Linked DNA regions of Tamandua tetradactyla. The protein of the gene in region 1 purifies or fractionates together with the protein of each later gene. This does not show direct contact. Links are inferred from orthologs where the notes say so. Each region holds a gene or a part of one and is shown in the gene's direction. Other genes may lie near its edges. The genes, in order: TCEAL1 and KDM3A.

Region 1 (7,914 bases):
GAAGTCAGAGGTTTCACACTACCTGACTTTAAGGCATATTATAAAGCTACAGTGGTCAAAACAGCATGGTACTGGCATAAAGGTAAATATACTGACCAATGGAATAGAATAGAATGTTCCGATATAGACCCTCTCATCTATGGACAATTGATCTTTGATAAGGCAGTCAATCCAACTAACCTGGGACAGAACAGTCTCTTCAATAAATGGTGCTTAGGGAACTGGATATCCATATGCAAAAGAATGAAAGAGGATCCATATCTCACACCCTATGCAAAAATTAACTCAAAATGGATCAAAGACCTAAACATTAGATCTAAGACCACAAAACTGTCACAAGAAAATGTAGGGAAATATCTTATAAATCTTATACTAGGAGGCAGTTTCTTAGACTTTATACCCAAAGCAAGAGCATTGAAGAAAGAAATAAATAAATGGGAACTTCTCAAAATTAAACACTTTTGCGCATCAAAGAACTTCGTCAAGAAAGTAAAAAGACAGCCTACACAATGGGAGACAATATTTGGAAATGATATATCAGATAAAGGTCTAGTATCCAGAATATATAAAGAGACTGTTCAACTCAACAACAAAAAGACAGACAACTGAATTACAAAATGGGCAAAAGACTTGAACAGACACTTCTCAGAGGAGGAAATACAAATGGCCAAAAGGCACCTGAAAAGAAGCTCAACTTCCCTGGTTACTAGAGTAATGCAAATCAAAACCACAATGAGATATCATCTCACACCCACCAGAATGGCCATTATCAATAAAACAGAAAATGACAAGTGCTGGAGAGGATGTGGAGAAAGAGGCACAGTTATCCACTGTTGGTGGGAATGTCAAATTGTACAACCACTGTGGAAGGCAGTTTGGCATTTCCTCAGGAAGCTATGTATAGAATTGCCATATGACCTAGCAATACCACTGCTAGGTATCTACTCAGAGGTCATGAGGGCAAGGACACAAACAGACATTTGCACACCAGTGTTTATAGCAGCATTATTTACAACTTTTACCAAGAGATGGAAACAGCCAAAATGTCCATCAACAGATGAGTGGCTAAACAAACTGTGGTATATACATACAATGGAATATTATGCTGCTGTAAGACAGAATGAAGTTATGAAGTATGTAACAACATGGATGGACCTTAAGGACATCATGCTGAGTGAGATTAGCCAGAAACAAAAGGATAAATACTGTATGGTCTCACTGACATGAACTGACATTAGTGAATAAACTTGGAGAATTTCATTGGTAACAGAGACCATTAGGAGATAGAAATAGAGTAAGATATTGGGTAATTGGAGCTGAAGGATACAGATTGTTCAACAGGACTGACTGTAAAATCTCAGAAATGGATAGCATAATACTACCTAAATGGAATACAATTATGTTAAAACACTGAATGAAGCTGAATGTGAGAATGATAGAGGGAAGAGTGCTGGGGGCACAAATGAAATCAGAAAGAAGGACGATAAAGACTGAGATGGTATAATGTAGGAATGCCTAGAGTGTATAATGATAGTGAGTAAATGTACAAATTTAAAAAATGTTTTTGTATGAGGAAGAACAAAGGTATGTCATTACTGCAGGGTGTTGAAAACAGATGGTAATTAATATTTTAAAATTTTAACTTATTGGTGAGACTAAAGCAAAAAAAATGTTTATTTGGTACAAAATTTATATTTGACTAGGGCATTTCCTAATATAACTTATGTAGACAGCTTAGTTGAATACCATAAGTACATGGTACCTTGAGTAGGGCATGAGATTTTGTTGGATTGTCCAAAGTGATGCCCCAATAAATCCCAGAGTTATTTGAACAGTGAATAAAAGAGTATTTGTAAAGTCCCCTTCGGGGAATGGTGAGAAATGGGGAAAATTCAACCTCCCCAAGTTGAATTCTTGATATTCTCACAAGCAGTGCAGACAACCAAAGCTATAGGCTGAGCCCCCAATCTTGGGGTTTGTTCATATGAAACTTAACCCCACAAAGGATAGGTCAAGCCTACTTAAAATTAGGCATAAGTGTCACCCCCAAGAGAACCTCTTTTGTTGCTCAGATGTGGCCTCTCTCTCCAGTCAATACAACAAGCAAACTCACTGCCCTCCCCATGTCTACATGGGACATGACTCCCAGGGATGTAGACCTTCCTGGCAACGTGGGACAGAAATCCTAAAATGAGCTGAGACTCAGCATCAAGGGATTGAGAAAACCTTCTCAACCAAAAGAGAAAGAGCAAAATGAGAAAAAAGAAAGTGTCAATGGCTGAGAGATTCCAGAGTCGAGAGATTATCCGGGAGGTTATTCTTACTCATTAAATAGATATTACCTTGTCAGTCAAGATGTAATGGAAGGCTGGAGGGAACTGCCTGAAAATGTCCAGCTGTGTTCCAGTAGCTATGTTTCTTGAAGATGATTGTATAATGATACAGCTTTCACAATGTGACTGTGTGATTGTGAAAACCTTGTATCTGATATTCCTTTTATCTACCTTATCAATAGATGAGTAAAACATATGGAATAAAAATAAATAATAGGGGGAACAAATGTTAAAATAAATTTAGATTGAAATGCAAGTGATCAATGAAAGGGAGGGGCAAGGCATATGATACGTATGAATTTTTTTCTGTTGTCTTTTTATTTCTTTTTCTAAATTGATGCAAATGTTCTAAAAAATGATTGTGATATATGAATTACTGATTACATATGTAGAACGGAATGATCATAAGTTAGGAATATTTGCATTTGTTTGTTGTTATATATATATATTTTTTAAATTATTTTAAAAATTGAAATCAATTACAGAACTGTATTGACAGCTGAATATATGAAACAAAGATTTGGGGTGTTTCAGTTGAGTGTAATTTAAACTGCATTCAACTGTGTGATATTGCATCCACAAAATCTACTATGATGCTAGGATATATCAATAGTTGAATAGCATCTATTCAAGAATGAAGGAGAGGATAGTATAACTTTATTGTACATTAGGGAGAATATACAGTATTTCAGAGAAATTTACAATTTAATGAGCATGTAGGATTGTGAGTAACTTTGGAAAAATGTATTTTTTCAGATACAGCTGAAATAACTGGGGAGATTAAACCTCCAAAAAAATGTCTTTGTGAAAACATAATTGTTTAAGGATTACATGAGATAACACTGAAAACACATACCACAATGTATGACATAACTAAGTCTCAATTCATATTAGTAATGTTATTAGCCCAGTGTCATACCCTTATTATTATTATTACAGCTAATGCTTATAGAGTGCATTCCATGTGCTAGGCACTATTCCAGGTCCTTAACATATATTGACTCATTTATTCCTCTTACCAATACTGTGAGGTAGGTACTATTATTGGCTCCAATTTTGTAGATGAGGAAGTTGAGTCATGAAAAGAATTGGTAGATTGCGTTATGTGTGTCATGGATGGGAAGGGGCCAGAATGAAGACATAAACTCTGGCAGTTTCAGACTATCAGGGGTAAAATGTACTTTTATTATTTTATACTTGTTCTGAACTACTCCAGAGGGCAGAAACAGGACCAATGTGTGTAAACTACTGGGAGACAGATTTCAGTTTAGTAGAAGAGAAAAAAACTCCGAATGATCACAATTATCTGTAATTTCAAAAGGATGTCTTATAAGGTACTGAGTTCTCCCTCAAAGAATATCAAAAAGAAAAAAAAAAGAAGAGAAATTAGTAAATGAATGAAATGGGACTCCTCTTGGAAAGAAACTGTAACCATGAGAAACCCAGCCCTTGTTGAAGAATAACAAAGGTATAGTGAAACTTGGCTTTAAAGACAAACATCATCAAAAAAAAAAACAAGAAAAAGGAACATGAAAAAACAAATAATAAATTTAAAAAGACAAGCATCACTGGAAAATTGAATATTAAAACAGTGATGGGAAAGATATAAAGGTGAACTAATGTCTGTCTAGCTGCTATCTCAACACAAAGTAAATTAGATACCAGAGAAAAGCATCAAAAAGTTCTTAAAACAGGAAACTTCATGTACAAATTTCTGGTTTTGAAACTTATTAGACAGTCTGGATTTGATAAAAAAGAAAAACCCAGTATTATCAGAGATCTGATGGTCACTGGCCCTGAAAGTGTACGACATGGAGAAAAGAAGAGGGGTAGCCTGCTCCCTGTGAGAAAGAGTAACTGCTTGAGATGGTAGTATCCAAGCTGATGTGAGTAAGTGAGAGACAGGCATGGGGTCAAAGATCATTAAAAATCCACTAGATTCAAAAATATATACTTGTAGTAACAATGGAGAATGTTAGCATGATTTTAATCCTATTACTCCGTGTGTGGTCAACAAAATGATTGCATAGTACAATACTGAATGTCCTCTGTGCCTCATCTATCTTTTTGGGTCAGGCAGTGCCAGGATTCTAATATTTGTTGATTTAATTCATTATTAATACAAACTTTCTTGACCTGCAGCACCAAAAGGAGGCTAGTTAAGAACTTAAGAGTTTCAGCAAAATCTTTCATCTGTTGTGAATGATTGTTTACTAGTTGCATGTTTTAAAATAATAATGCCATGTTCTCCACCAAGATCTCTCCTGTTTCAGATAACAAATGGATTTTCAGGACTATTTGAACTTAGACAAAAGTATATTTTGATTTATAAAAATCAAAGTATTCATCGTTTTTAGATTTACACCCTTTACAGACTTAACTCTTTCTAGAGTATTTTTATCAGAGTATATTTTAAATGAAAAACATAATTTATTTTGCTCTGTATCAAAAATTCTAGATGCAAAGAGCTGAAAGATTAGACTGCATCTTCTATTAGTGATGGCTCAAAGAAGCAAAACATAGATGTCAAGGAAAAGTGAAAGACTGTCACGAAAATAACAAGAAGAGGTGAAAACATTATGATAGAGCCTAAATGGACACGATGGAGTTATGGATATCGATTAAAACTGGGAGAGAAGGGAGTTAATATTGATTCATGAAGGTAAAATAGTCACATTTCAGTGTAGCATCTGGGCTGCGGGGGAAATAGTGGGCCTTGGTAGCTGAGGAAGGGGGGGTATGTGGGAAGAGAGGTGGTATTAGAGGAAGCAGCTGAGAGGAAAAGCAGTAAATCCCAAGATTACACGCTAGCGGTCTCGGGTAACAGAGAAAGGCAAATATAAACAAAGAGAGGTGAGTGACAATGCTTTGTGTGTTCAGCTGGCTGCAGCAGCACGGCCCTGGGTCAAAGCCCTGTAAGTGGGGATCAGAGCTCTGCGGTGACGCGCGGCTCTCACGTGACCAGGAGCCTAAGTCTGCCCAAGTCGCTCTCGTCCTGGTCCTATTTGCCTGTCCAGACACCATCTCCCCATTGCCCTCTGGTCGTGGGGAAAAGCAGAAGGAAGTAAGTTCCCTCGATACCCTTAAATCGGTGTGAGAGTCGATGCTGCCTAGTAACCCGTGGGATACCGACAGCAGAGAGCTCAGGCCTTTTCCCTACGCTTCAGACCCGCCCCCCGCGTCCATATTTAGGTGCAGAAAATGGCGTTCTTGGGGTGGGGTGGAGAGGTGAGTGGGTCCCTGAGGAGGGACACACAGACACTTAGAAATAGGTTCTAAATAAGCCTTCTCATCAACTTCCCGCCTGAGAAAAAGTGACGCTTACTGCGAGGTGTGGGGCTGGGGTGGAGAGGACGAGACTTGGTATGGAGTAAGTGGGGCGAGAGAGGTGAACACGAAGCCAGAGACACCGGCCTGGGGGCGAATGCAGCGAGTGCCCAGAGAAGGGCGTGTGCCAATCAGTCCGTCCGTTCTCCCCACACCCCGCTCCCTACCCTGTCTTGCGTCTGTCTGCAGGTGGGCACGTCACAGCAGTGCACCTCAAGGAGAGGTCGGCGAGGAGCAAACCGCCAGGAGAGGTCCAGGTCGGAGGAGGGATGGGCACTGGAGGGGGACACGGGTGCGGGGGCTGACGCGGAACTGAATGGAGTCTGCGGGCCCCGTCGCCCCGCCCCTATCACTGCGGGAGAGGTCTACGGAAAGGCCTGCTGGGAAAATGGTGGGCTTTGGGGAGTCAGGAGGAAACAGGGCGCCAGAGAGAGAGAGAGAGAGAGAGAGAGAGAGACACGGGCCCGCAGAAGCAGACAAAGCCTCTCAGTGATTATAGATTTGAGGTACTGGGCCCCGAATCGAGAAAAGGCAGATATTGGAAGCCATAGCCGGGATTTTGGCCCATCCACCAGGTACGTGACTTTACTTTGCCTTTCTTGTCTCCTAAGAATAACTGCTTAAAGGAGAGCATTCTCAACATGGAAAAACCATGCAAAGAAAATGAAGAACAGCCACCGAGCACGCCAAAGATCAATGAGGAGCAGCCTCCTGTGGAGCACCCTCCCACAAAGCACTCCCCGGAGGAACAATCTTCGGAGGAGCAATCCTCAGATGAGGAGTTCTTTCCGGAGGAACTCCTTCCTGAGCTCCTTCCTGACATGCTACTTTCTGAGGAGCGCCCTCCTCAGGAGAGCCTTTCTAGGAAGTACCTTTTTGAGGAGCGCCCTCCAATGGAGCAGCCTCCTTGTGGAGTAGGAAAACATAAGCTAGAAGAAGGAAGTTTTAAAGAAAGGCTGGCGCGTTCTCGCCCACAGCTGAGAGGGGACATACATGGCAGGAATTTAACCAATGAAGAGATGATAAAGGCAGCAGATGACATGGAAGAGATGAAAAGAGTAAGAAACAAACTGATGATAATGCATTGGAAGGCAAAACGAAACCGTCCTTATCCTATTTAATGTTGTATTATGCCTTGAATAGTGTTTTATCTGATATTAGTATTGCCACCTGAACTTTATGTTTGCATTTTCTTATAGACTGGTTCCCATCTTAATTTTAACTTTGTGCGTGCTTTGTTTTAGGTATTTCTCTTGTAACTGGCATACAACTTTTTATTCTCCTATAGTCTACACGTCTCCCTCTTTCCAACATGAATTTCACCTATATGCATGGGGAAATGTACTTTATATAGTAAAGTGAAAACAACAGTTTTCAAAAAGTATATATAGTATCCCATCTTTGTAAAAAGTACTTGTATATTTATATATTAACCTGCAAAGAAAAAACTGAATGTATATACACCAGAAGCTTAACAATGGCTATCTGTGTTAAATAATAGGTATTTTATTTTGTTTTTTATTTTTACTGTATATGAATTTGTTAGTTTTTCAAGATGAACTTGTATCACATGCTCAAAAAAACAACACAATGATATAATGAAAATATGTGAAGCAATAAAAAACTCATTCAGCTCATATGGCAAATGGGGGACTTAATAAATGCTTGTAAGAACTTAAAAAAAGAAAAAATATATCCCAAGTTTCTTCTGAATTTCTTAAGTAGAAATATGAGCCAGGTATTTATTACATGTTTAAGGGTCGGTCATTTCCCAGCTAAGTAGGAGTAATACCTGCCTTACTGAGCTGTTGTGGACCCAAATGAGATAAAGATTTTGTGACCTGTGCTTGTCTCTTTCCCCCACTTGCACATACAGGACTTCAAGCCCTATAGATTCCCTTCAGACATAAGGGATAGTAAAGAGGTCTCACTAGTGCTCACAAACAGCTCCTGTGAGACTCCAAGTGAGTATCACATTCTGTTCCTTTTCTGTTCCGCTGTTCCCTTAAATACTGCCATATCTGATAGGCACAGCTGACTATCAAACAGAAACATGCCAAAGTACTTGGTAAGACTGTGCAAACACACACACACATATTTATCAGATATTATAATTTGTCCATTAAACTACCTTTATAAAACCTAAGTTTTTTTGTTGATCCTGATAATTCTAGAAACACAGGTGGTAGTTACTTTTTTTAAAGTTATTACTCCGTTAAGATCCCTAAGTTCTTGAATCTATATCCTTGTTTAA
Region 2 (7,709 bases), on another chromosome or scaffold:
GATAAAACTGAATTACTCATGAGGAGGAAAAAAAGGAAGAAAAGGGACAGTGATCTTAAAACACTTTGCTGGATTTTTAATATTTAGCTCTTTGATCCATCTGGAACATACTTATGTGAATGCTGCTTTAGGAATCTGATTTTTTCTTTTCCTGAATGGCTAATTAATAGACCCAGCAGCATATATTGAAAAGTATACTCTTCACACTTACTGGAAATGTTGTATTAATTATAATCCAATTTCTCATATACACATGGATCTGTCTCCATATTATCTTAACTATTTCCATACTTCTTTCTTGATTCATTCATTCATTGTAATTATCATTTAATCTGGGGAGAACTGACATCTTTACTTTATCAAGTCATTCCATATAAAGAGATGGAATGTCTTAAATCTTTTTACATGACAGTAAAGTCATAGTTTTTTTCATGAGTTTTGTTCATTTCTTGAACTTATTCTTAGTTGTTCTGTAGCTTTTATTATCAGATACGGTTTCTCTTTTTTTCTATTGACTGTCATGATCGAGGCTCATTAAAGAAGGATTCTTGTTTGTTAATCTTTTATGGCACCACCCTTGACTCACGTACTAGGTCTAATAATTCATCAATAGTGGCCCTAAATTACCTACAAATTCTGTGGAATTTTTCCCTCCATTCCAACGTTTATATTTTATTATTTATTTTGCTTGTCTTATTGTATTAGCAATTAACCTCCACTATAGTTTGATGGCAGTGACATCATTGCATATCTGGATCTCGCTCCTGACTTCAGTGGGAATCCTTCTAAATTTTTACAATTAAGTATGACATTTAAGTATATTTCTGATAGACATTCTTTACAAAATTATGGTAGTTTCCTTCTATTCATAGTCTGCTAGGAGTATTTTGTAACGAATGATGAAAGTAAAACTTTACAAGTGCTTTTCTTTTTTTTTTTTACAGCTACTGAGATAATATACATCTTCTCCTTTAATCTGTTAATGTAGTTAAATGCAGTAATAGGATTTTAAAATTAATTTTAAATTTCAAAAGTAATATGTAAACCTATTCATGTTATAAGAATGAATTACATATAAAGTTAACACATTTTTGACTAATACCCTCAATTCTAATATGCATCCTCCAGTTATCATCATTATGAGTTTTAATGTTTCATAGAAAATATACACTATTGTTTTGTTAGTGTATTTTAAAACAGCACTCAATTGAATTTTCATTTTCATTCAAAATGTGTTTCGGTGATCTCTCCTTATTGGTACATCTAAATATTTCATTCCTTTTCAAATACTCTAACATTCAATATTACATCATGTAAATACAGATATTATTGTATTTATTCATTCCCTAATCAAAAAATTTTTTCACAACAAACAATGCTGAAATGAATAACCTTGTAGTTGTCTCCTAGTTCATATGTTTTCTAAGACAGATATCTTACATTCTTAGCTTTCTAGGAAGTTTAAAAATATTTTTAAAATCATGAATGGGTGATGAATGTAAATACGTACTCTTAATACTTCTGGTTTTCTAAGAAATTTAGAAACACTTTTAAAATCACAAACAGGTGTTCAATGCAAGTGCATACACTTCCACTAAATGAACATACTTTTCTTTTAAGCTGTGAAATAGTGAATTATAGTAATTCTTAATCTTGAAATATCCTTATATTCATAGGATAATCCTTATTCATCATTGTGGTTACTTCAAAAATATACTGCTGGACTTGCTGATGTTTTATAAGATTTTTTCTTCTATGTCCATAAGTGTAATTGAAGTATAGGTTTCCTTTCTAGTGCTCTCTTGGTTTAGATTTGGTAATCAGTTTGGGTAGTTTTATAAAATGTATTGGCTAGCTTTCATTTTATTTTTTGTGCCTAGAGAATTACTCTGTTATATGAGCTACACACCAAACTTCATGTTTAGTATATTAACAAACAAAACATTGGTTCTCTATGAGTCATAATAAAAAAATACCTGTTATAACAATCTGGAAAAGGTAAAATCAAAATCATAATCTACAGCAAATATCTTACAAAGAAGGAATCAGTAAAAGTTAATGCAGTGCAGCTTTAAGGACGAAAATCATCACAGGAATCTATACTAAACACTGTTATCACTTGAGACTACTTGTGAAGCTGAGGAAGAGGAATGCCTCAATTCACACTGAACCAAGTACTGTGTTCTGAAACAAGCTAAAATTTCCTTAAACAAAAAACAGCATTTGCTGATTTTCAGCTTTTATCACACAATACTGATACTACTGAGAAAAGAAGGCATGCACACAGTATCAAAAGATTTAATGTACATGACAAGAAATACACTAAAAATAATTGTTACAAAAGCAAACTTCAGGAAGCTATAAACATGAAAGAACCATTTGTTTCCCTACATAGCAGTCTGAAATAAATCCAAAGAGCAGTATAAAGACCACTGAAATTCATTAGTTCAACGAGTGAACAAAATGACATATTTTAAAACTCAATGGAAAAAGCTACTAATTAATACTTTAGATTTTTTTTTCTTACAAGTTTTGTGGTTTATACTCAAAGTTCAACCTACATTTAACATTTTTAAGTTCAGTCATGCCAAAAGTTTTGACTTGCTTTCTACCTCTCCTAAGTTCTGGTACTGCGCATACACCAGAGGAATTATACGTTCCTTGAAGTTTGGTCGAATGTGTTCCTTAACAATTTTTTTTTTTAGATTAATAGTTAATTACCCAATTTAAGTCTTCCACATCTTCACTTATTTAAAAAATCTACTTGACTTTCCCTATTTCTGGGGCAAATGTATTTAAGTTTTCTACTCTTACTATAAATTTGTTAAAAGTTTTCTCACAGTTCCAATAGTTTAGTCTTAAGTTAGGCTAAACTATGTTGTTAGAGTCATAATAGCTCAGAAGTTAATAGTATCTTCACGGACTTTATATTTTCTTAACATAAATCCTTTTCTCTTTTGATGCTATTTGCAACTACTTATATTAATTTACTATACTGATTTCCTTTTACCATAATTTAATTAGTAAAACTCCTTTTTTTCCTCAATATTTTCAAGCTTATGTTTCTGTAGGAGTGTTGTTTGGAATCAATTTATAGTTTGGATTTCGTTTTTTATTCAAGCTTTAAAACTTTTGAGTAAAATTAACCCATTTATACTTATTGTAAACATTGATGTTTGCACTTAACTCCCCCCTTCATTCTTTCTATTGACAATATGTCTGGTGTTTTATTTTCCTTCTCCTCATTACTGCATTTTGTTGGATTGGATAGGTTTATTTTTCTATTTCCCCCATTTTTAATGATGTGTAAATCCAATTTAATTCTTCTAGAGTTCAATCTTAACTCTAAAAAATTTCTTCATGTTGCATATTCAAAGCATGTAGAGTTAAAATCAACATGTGGTATTAATTTGCACTGCGATCCCTTGAATAATTTTCTGAACTCTTTCAGATGATCAGTTTTCACACCATAAAACTGGAAACACTAGCACTTCATTCGTTATTTTGAGGATTAAATGTGATGCTATGTCAGGCTCAACGTCTCTATAAAACAATAAGTCTTCAATTCATTCCATGTCTTCTTCATTATTCCACAAAAAAACTTGAGGTCCAAAACACAGAATCAGTTCTTACCTCCTTTGTCCTTCAAAGTCACCTCCTTTTCACCTTTCATATCTCTTCCATCATTATTGCCTTCATCTAGTCTTTCAATTTCTTTGTAAATCTCAGAAAATGATTTCATTCCCCCTTTTGTTTTAAAAAAAACCTTTCTATATTGTACCCACCGACCTCTTTTGCTCTTAGTGAACATCATTTCCCGATGCTTCCACGCCTTTCTTCATCTTCCTTCAAAATGGCGGACTTCAGACGTTCCACGAGCAACAGCACGTGCGCCTGCGCCTCCCGCGGCCATCTCGACCAGCAGGCCCAGCGCCCCCTTCCGCTTCGCGCCTGCGCAGGAGCCCCGAAACGCCGTCGCTCCTCCCCCGGGTTGAGTACGCCTGAAACCGCACGTCCCCGTCCTTCCCTCCCCCTCAGACTTCGCACCGCCCTCACCCTTTCCTGTGAGATTCTTCCGCATATGGCAGACCCATTTTGGTTGACAGCCTGCGCACTCGGAGAACGATCCAATAGGGACCTACGGCCAGGTTTCGACACTCAAGTCTTGTTTGTGCGCCACGGCGATCTTCCTCAGGGTCCCAAAGTTGATAACTGATTTGCGGGACTTTTTTGCATCTCGTGAGGCAGCAAACGGGAAGAATGGGACTGTGGCGGAGGGATCTCTCGCTCGGGTTTTGCGTACTTCAACTAATGGGGGTCGCCCTGGAGTCGGAAGGGGGAGGGGAAAGGGCGGGGCCGCCAAGGAATTGTTTTTTTCTGTCGCCCCTCCCTCGCCAGGCCGGCCAATGGTGATGAGCTGTCTTCCTACGGGCCCCGCCCAGCGGCCCCCGGCAAGCCAATGAGCCGCGGCAGCGGCTCTGAGGGGGCGGGTCCGGGGGCCGTGCGCGTCCTGCGAGGCCGGGGCACCAAGTCGGCTGGAGTCTGCGGGCGGTTGCGAGCGGCTGCGCCGCGGGTGACTCAGGAGGCGGGAGGCGGGGTGAGGCACCGCGGCCTCGGTCGGGGAAGGGCGGCGGCGGCAGGGAGGCAGGCCGGCAGGCCGTGGCAGAGGGCGCCTGGGGGCCGGGAGGGGCGCGGGCGAGCGCGGGGTGCCTGGGGCGGTGACGACCCGGCCCTCCCTCAGAAGGCGCCTCCGCCCCGGGTGAGGGGCGAGCCCCTGGAAATTCACTTGAGTCGCAAGCCGGGCTCCCTTCACTCCCTCGGCGCTCAGGCTTCAGATTTGGGCGAAGCGAAACTTGGGCGAGCGCGGGGGCGCAGCTTCGGGGTCCGCGTGTTCGGGGGGGAGGGGGCCGGGGACTCCCGGGCCCCCGCGTCCGGCCGCCGCCCGCGCTTGCGTTCCTGGCGCCGGGCTCGAGCGGCCGCTCCCGTCTCACGCCTCTTCGCGTGTCGCAGGCGACCCTCCCCGCGAGCCGGGACGATGGTGCTGACGCTCGGGGAGGGCGGCCCGGCGCTGGTGGGGAAGCGTTTCCTGAGCCTGAGCGCGGCCGAAGGCGGCTCCGACCGCTGGGACGTGGAGCGCGTCGCCGAGTGGCCCTGGCTCTCGGGCACCATCCGGGCCGTGTCCCACACGGACGTCACCAAGAAGGACCTGAAGGTAACCCCTCGGGACGCCCCCTGCGACTGCCCCCTACCCGTTCTGAAAGTTGGCGTGATCCGAGGGTGCCGAAAACCAGACCCTGGTGGGACTGCACAGCGCCGGCACTGTTGGATGATGGGTTCGAGGTGGTGCAAACGCGCTCGATTATCGCTCCAAAGGTGGGGTAATTGGGAGAATTAAGGTGGGCAAGTGGATGACGACTAAAATCATGGTAAGAACAGGGAGGGTAGTGGCTTGGAAGGGTTTTCAGTTGTTTGGTATGGTTGGTTGGTTACACTTAATTTCTTGTTCAACTTTTTAAACTTTGAGGCTTGTTAGAAATGAAGCGGGAAGGTAGAGGGAGGAGCTTATTCGTGTTTTTGGCGAATTAGGGTGTGTGTGTGTCCGTAGATGGTGGGTCAGGTCAGGAGTGGGTTCCTGATGCTACGGGATGGGGTCTGTGGGTGGGTGTGGAAGATGACCACATCTGTAAGGATGGGGTGGAGCTGCCCCATATATGGTGTATTGGAGGAAGGGCCTCAAAATATTCCACTTGGGTGTATGGGGAGGGATGGGGGGGGGGGATGGGACCTAGTACAGCCAGTGATTTTTAATCAGAATGACACTCCGAACCATTTTCAGTCTGATCTTTTCAAAGAGAGTTGAATTCCGATTTACTCCCTAACCCATCAATGTGAAAACGTTGTCTGGGTACAACCAGAGAAGAAGCCACTGTACCAACAAAGACTCCTTTGTGCAAAAAATAACCCCCCAAAATGCTCCCTCACAAAGACTGTGCTAGTGATAACTTGAAGGAAGCTTGACAGAATGGAAGATATTTCCTCTCTGGGTAGTAAATATCTTGTTTTCTGTACCTTCATTTGGTAATCATCTTTGTTTTTTCTTGAAAACTGCTCAAATACGGGAAGCAAGTTTTGGTGTTAGCAGTCAATATGTGTTGATTTCTGAAACATAAGTTAATTTTAACACTTTCAGGGTGACAGTTCATGCCCAAACCAGCAAGGTGTTGTGGGAAGAGGGATGTGTGGTTCTATTTTTGAACTTTGCAGTGTACCTTGTGTTCATGATTAAAAGGAGTGACGATCGAGCACCTTAACCGCATGCCAGGAGTCATGTGAACATATCATAGCCATCATCTTTTTGAATCCTTCCAGCATGTCTTTGGGAGTAGGGAATAATATTGCTCCTGTTTGACAGACGGAAGTACCCAAGCTGCCCAAGCTCAAATACCTAGGAATTGGGATATCCTATATGATATCCCAGGAAGTTTGGACTCCAGGAGCCATCCTTTTCAATCCCAGCCTGTATTACTGAGGTTGTACCACAGAAGGGCTTTTGTCATACATTGTAAAGTTCGGTTTTCTCCTTCCTACTTATTCTTCTAGCAAACTTGGACATTTAGATAGTGTGTAGTGTGGTTCAGGGATAACCAGTCTCTCTCCTTTGGTCAGTGACCTTTCTACAAAAAGTAGCCTTTTGAGTATTAGATTTCAGTCATCATTGTTGTGGCTTGTTTCACCTACCAAGTACAGGTTTCTTTAGAGCATTTGTTTTTATCAGATTTGACTGGAAACAAGGTTTGATTTAGACTTTGTAGTTTTTAGTTCTTTGGTAGATGAGAGACTTGGTGTTCCCTTCCCTGACAATGATTGAGGGCCTTTTCGGCTAGATAGGCAATCTGAGAGGTTCTTACGCAGGTATTCTTTTTAATCTTTATGCTCTCATTTCCCAAACTTTGAGGTAGTGGTGGTATCCTTATTTGCAAAATGAGGAAATAGATTTAGGAAAAGGAGTCTTGTCTGGAATTTCACAATTGGCCTCTAAGTGATTAAGGCAGGATTTGCAACTCTCGAGACACATGGCTTTGTCTTTACTGCACTAAGATGACTAGTGTAGAAGTAGCAGATATTTCAATTCATTAATAATTTCAACTGTATTTGATTTTTTTTACCTTATTTGTAGATTTCATAACTCAGCACCAGATGTACTCTTTTTAGCAGTCATAAGTTATTGCTACATTGAAGATGAAGTAATTGCCTTATTGTGTTAACAAAAAAAAAGTAGGATTATAAAACACAGATCCAATTTTACTTGGTGAGGTTTAGGCAGGCTTACACCTGGGTTTATGGATGATGAGGTTGTTTGGGAGTGGAGCATGGTGCTAAGTTGAAGGTGAATAAATAAATAGAATTGGAGAAGTGTGAAATGTTCTAGTACCAGTATAAGTTTGTCTAGGCTGGCTGGCTTAGTTGACTGAGGATGATACTAATGAGGCCAAGGCTTGTTAAATCTGCTTTACTTTGAGAGTGACTTTGTAACTTTGAGAGTTACTTTGTAACTTGATAAAAAGACAATATATCTAGTAGTTTGTTACAAGTTAAGATGGAGGCATTCTAATTATAGATAGTAATTATTAAATGCTTATTATGTAGCAAGTAGTAACTATAGTTCACAGTATATTTTTGGTGGTTATCTACATTTTTTAGCGGCAGAA

What was found.
Region 2: the proteins of TCEAL1 (region 1) and KDM3A purify together in Homo sapiens (affinity purification with mass spectrometry; 3 studies listed by BioGRID and IntAct, counting the BioPlex papers as one, with this or other methods). This does not show direct contact. The link is inferred for Tamandua tetradactyla from reciprocal best matches to the Homo sapiens genes TCEAL1 and KDM3A.

Annotation. Positions count from the first base shown.
Region 1 is NC_135353.1:69,976,781-69,984,694, forward strand, and holds TCEAL1 (transcription elongation factor A protein-like 1), read left to right. Parts: upstream 1-5,211; 5' UTR 5,212-5,397; intron 5,398-5,425; exon of another isoform or gene 5,426-5,561; intron 5,562-5,827; exon of another isoform or gene 5,828-5,967; intron 5,968-6,271; 5' UTR 6,272-6,301; coding exon 6,302-6,781; 3' UTR 6,782-7,297; downstream 7,298-7,914.
Region 2 is NC_135343.1:60,836,156-60,843,864, reverse strand, and holds the start of KDM3A (lysine-specific demethylase 3A), read left to right. Parts: upstream 1-4,597; intron 4,598-5,010; 5' UTR 5,011-5,035; coding exon 5,036-5,212; intron 5,213-5,247; exon of another isoform or gene 5,248-5,408; coding exon of another isoform or gene 5,409-5,426; intron 5,427-7,709. UniProt on the Homo sapiens protein: Histone demethylase that specifically demethylates 'Lys-9' of histone H3, thereby playing a central role in histone code.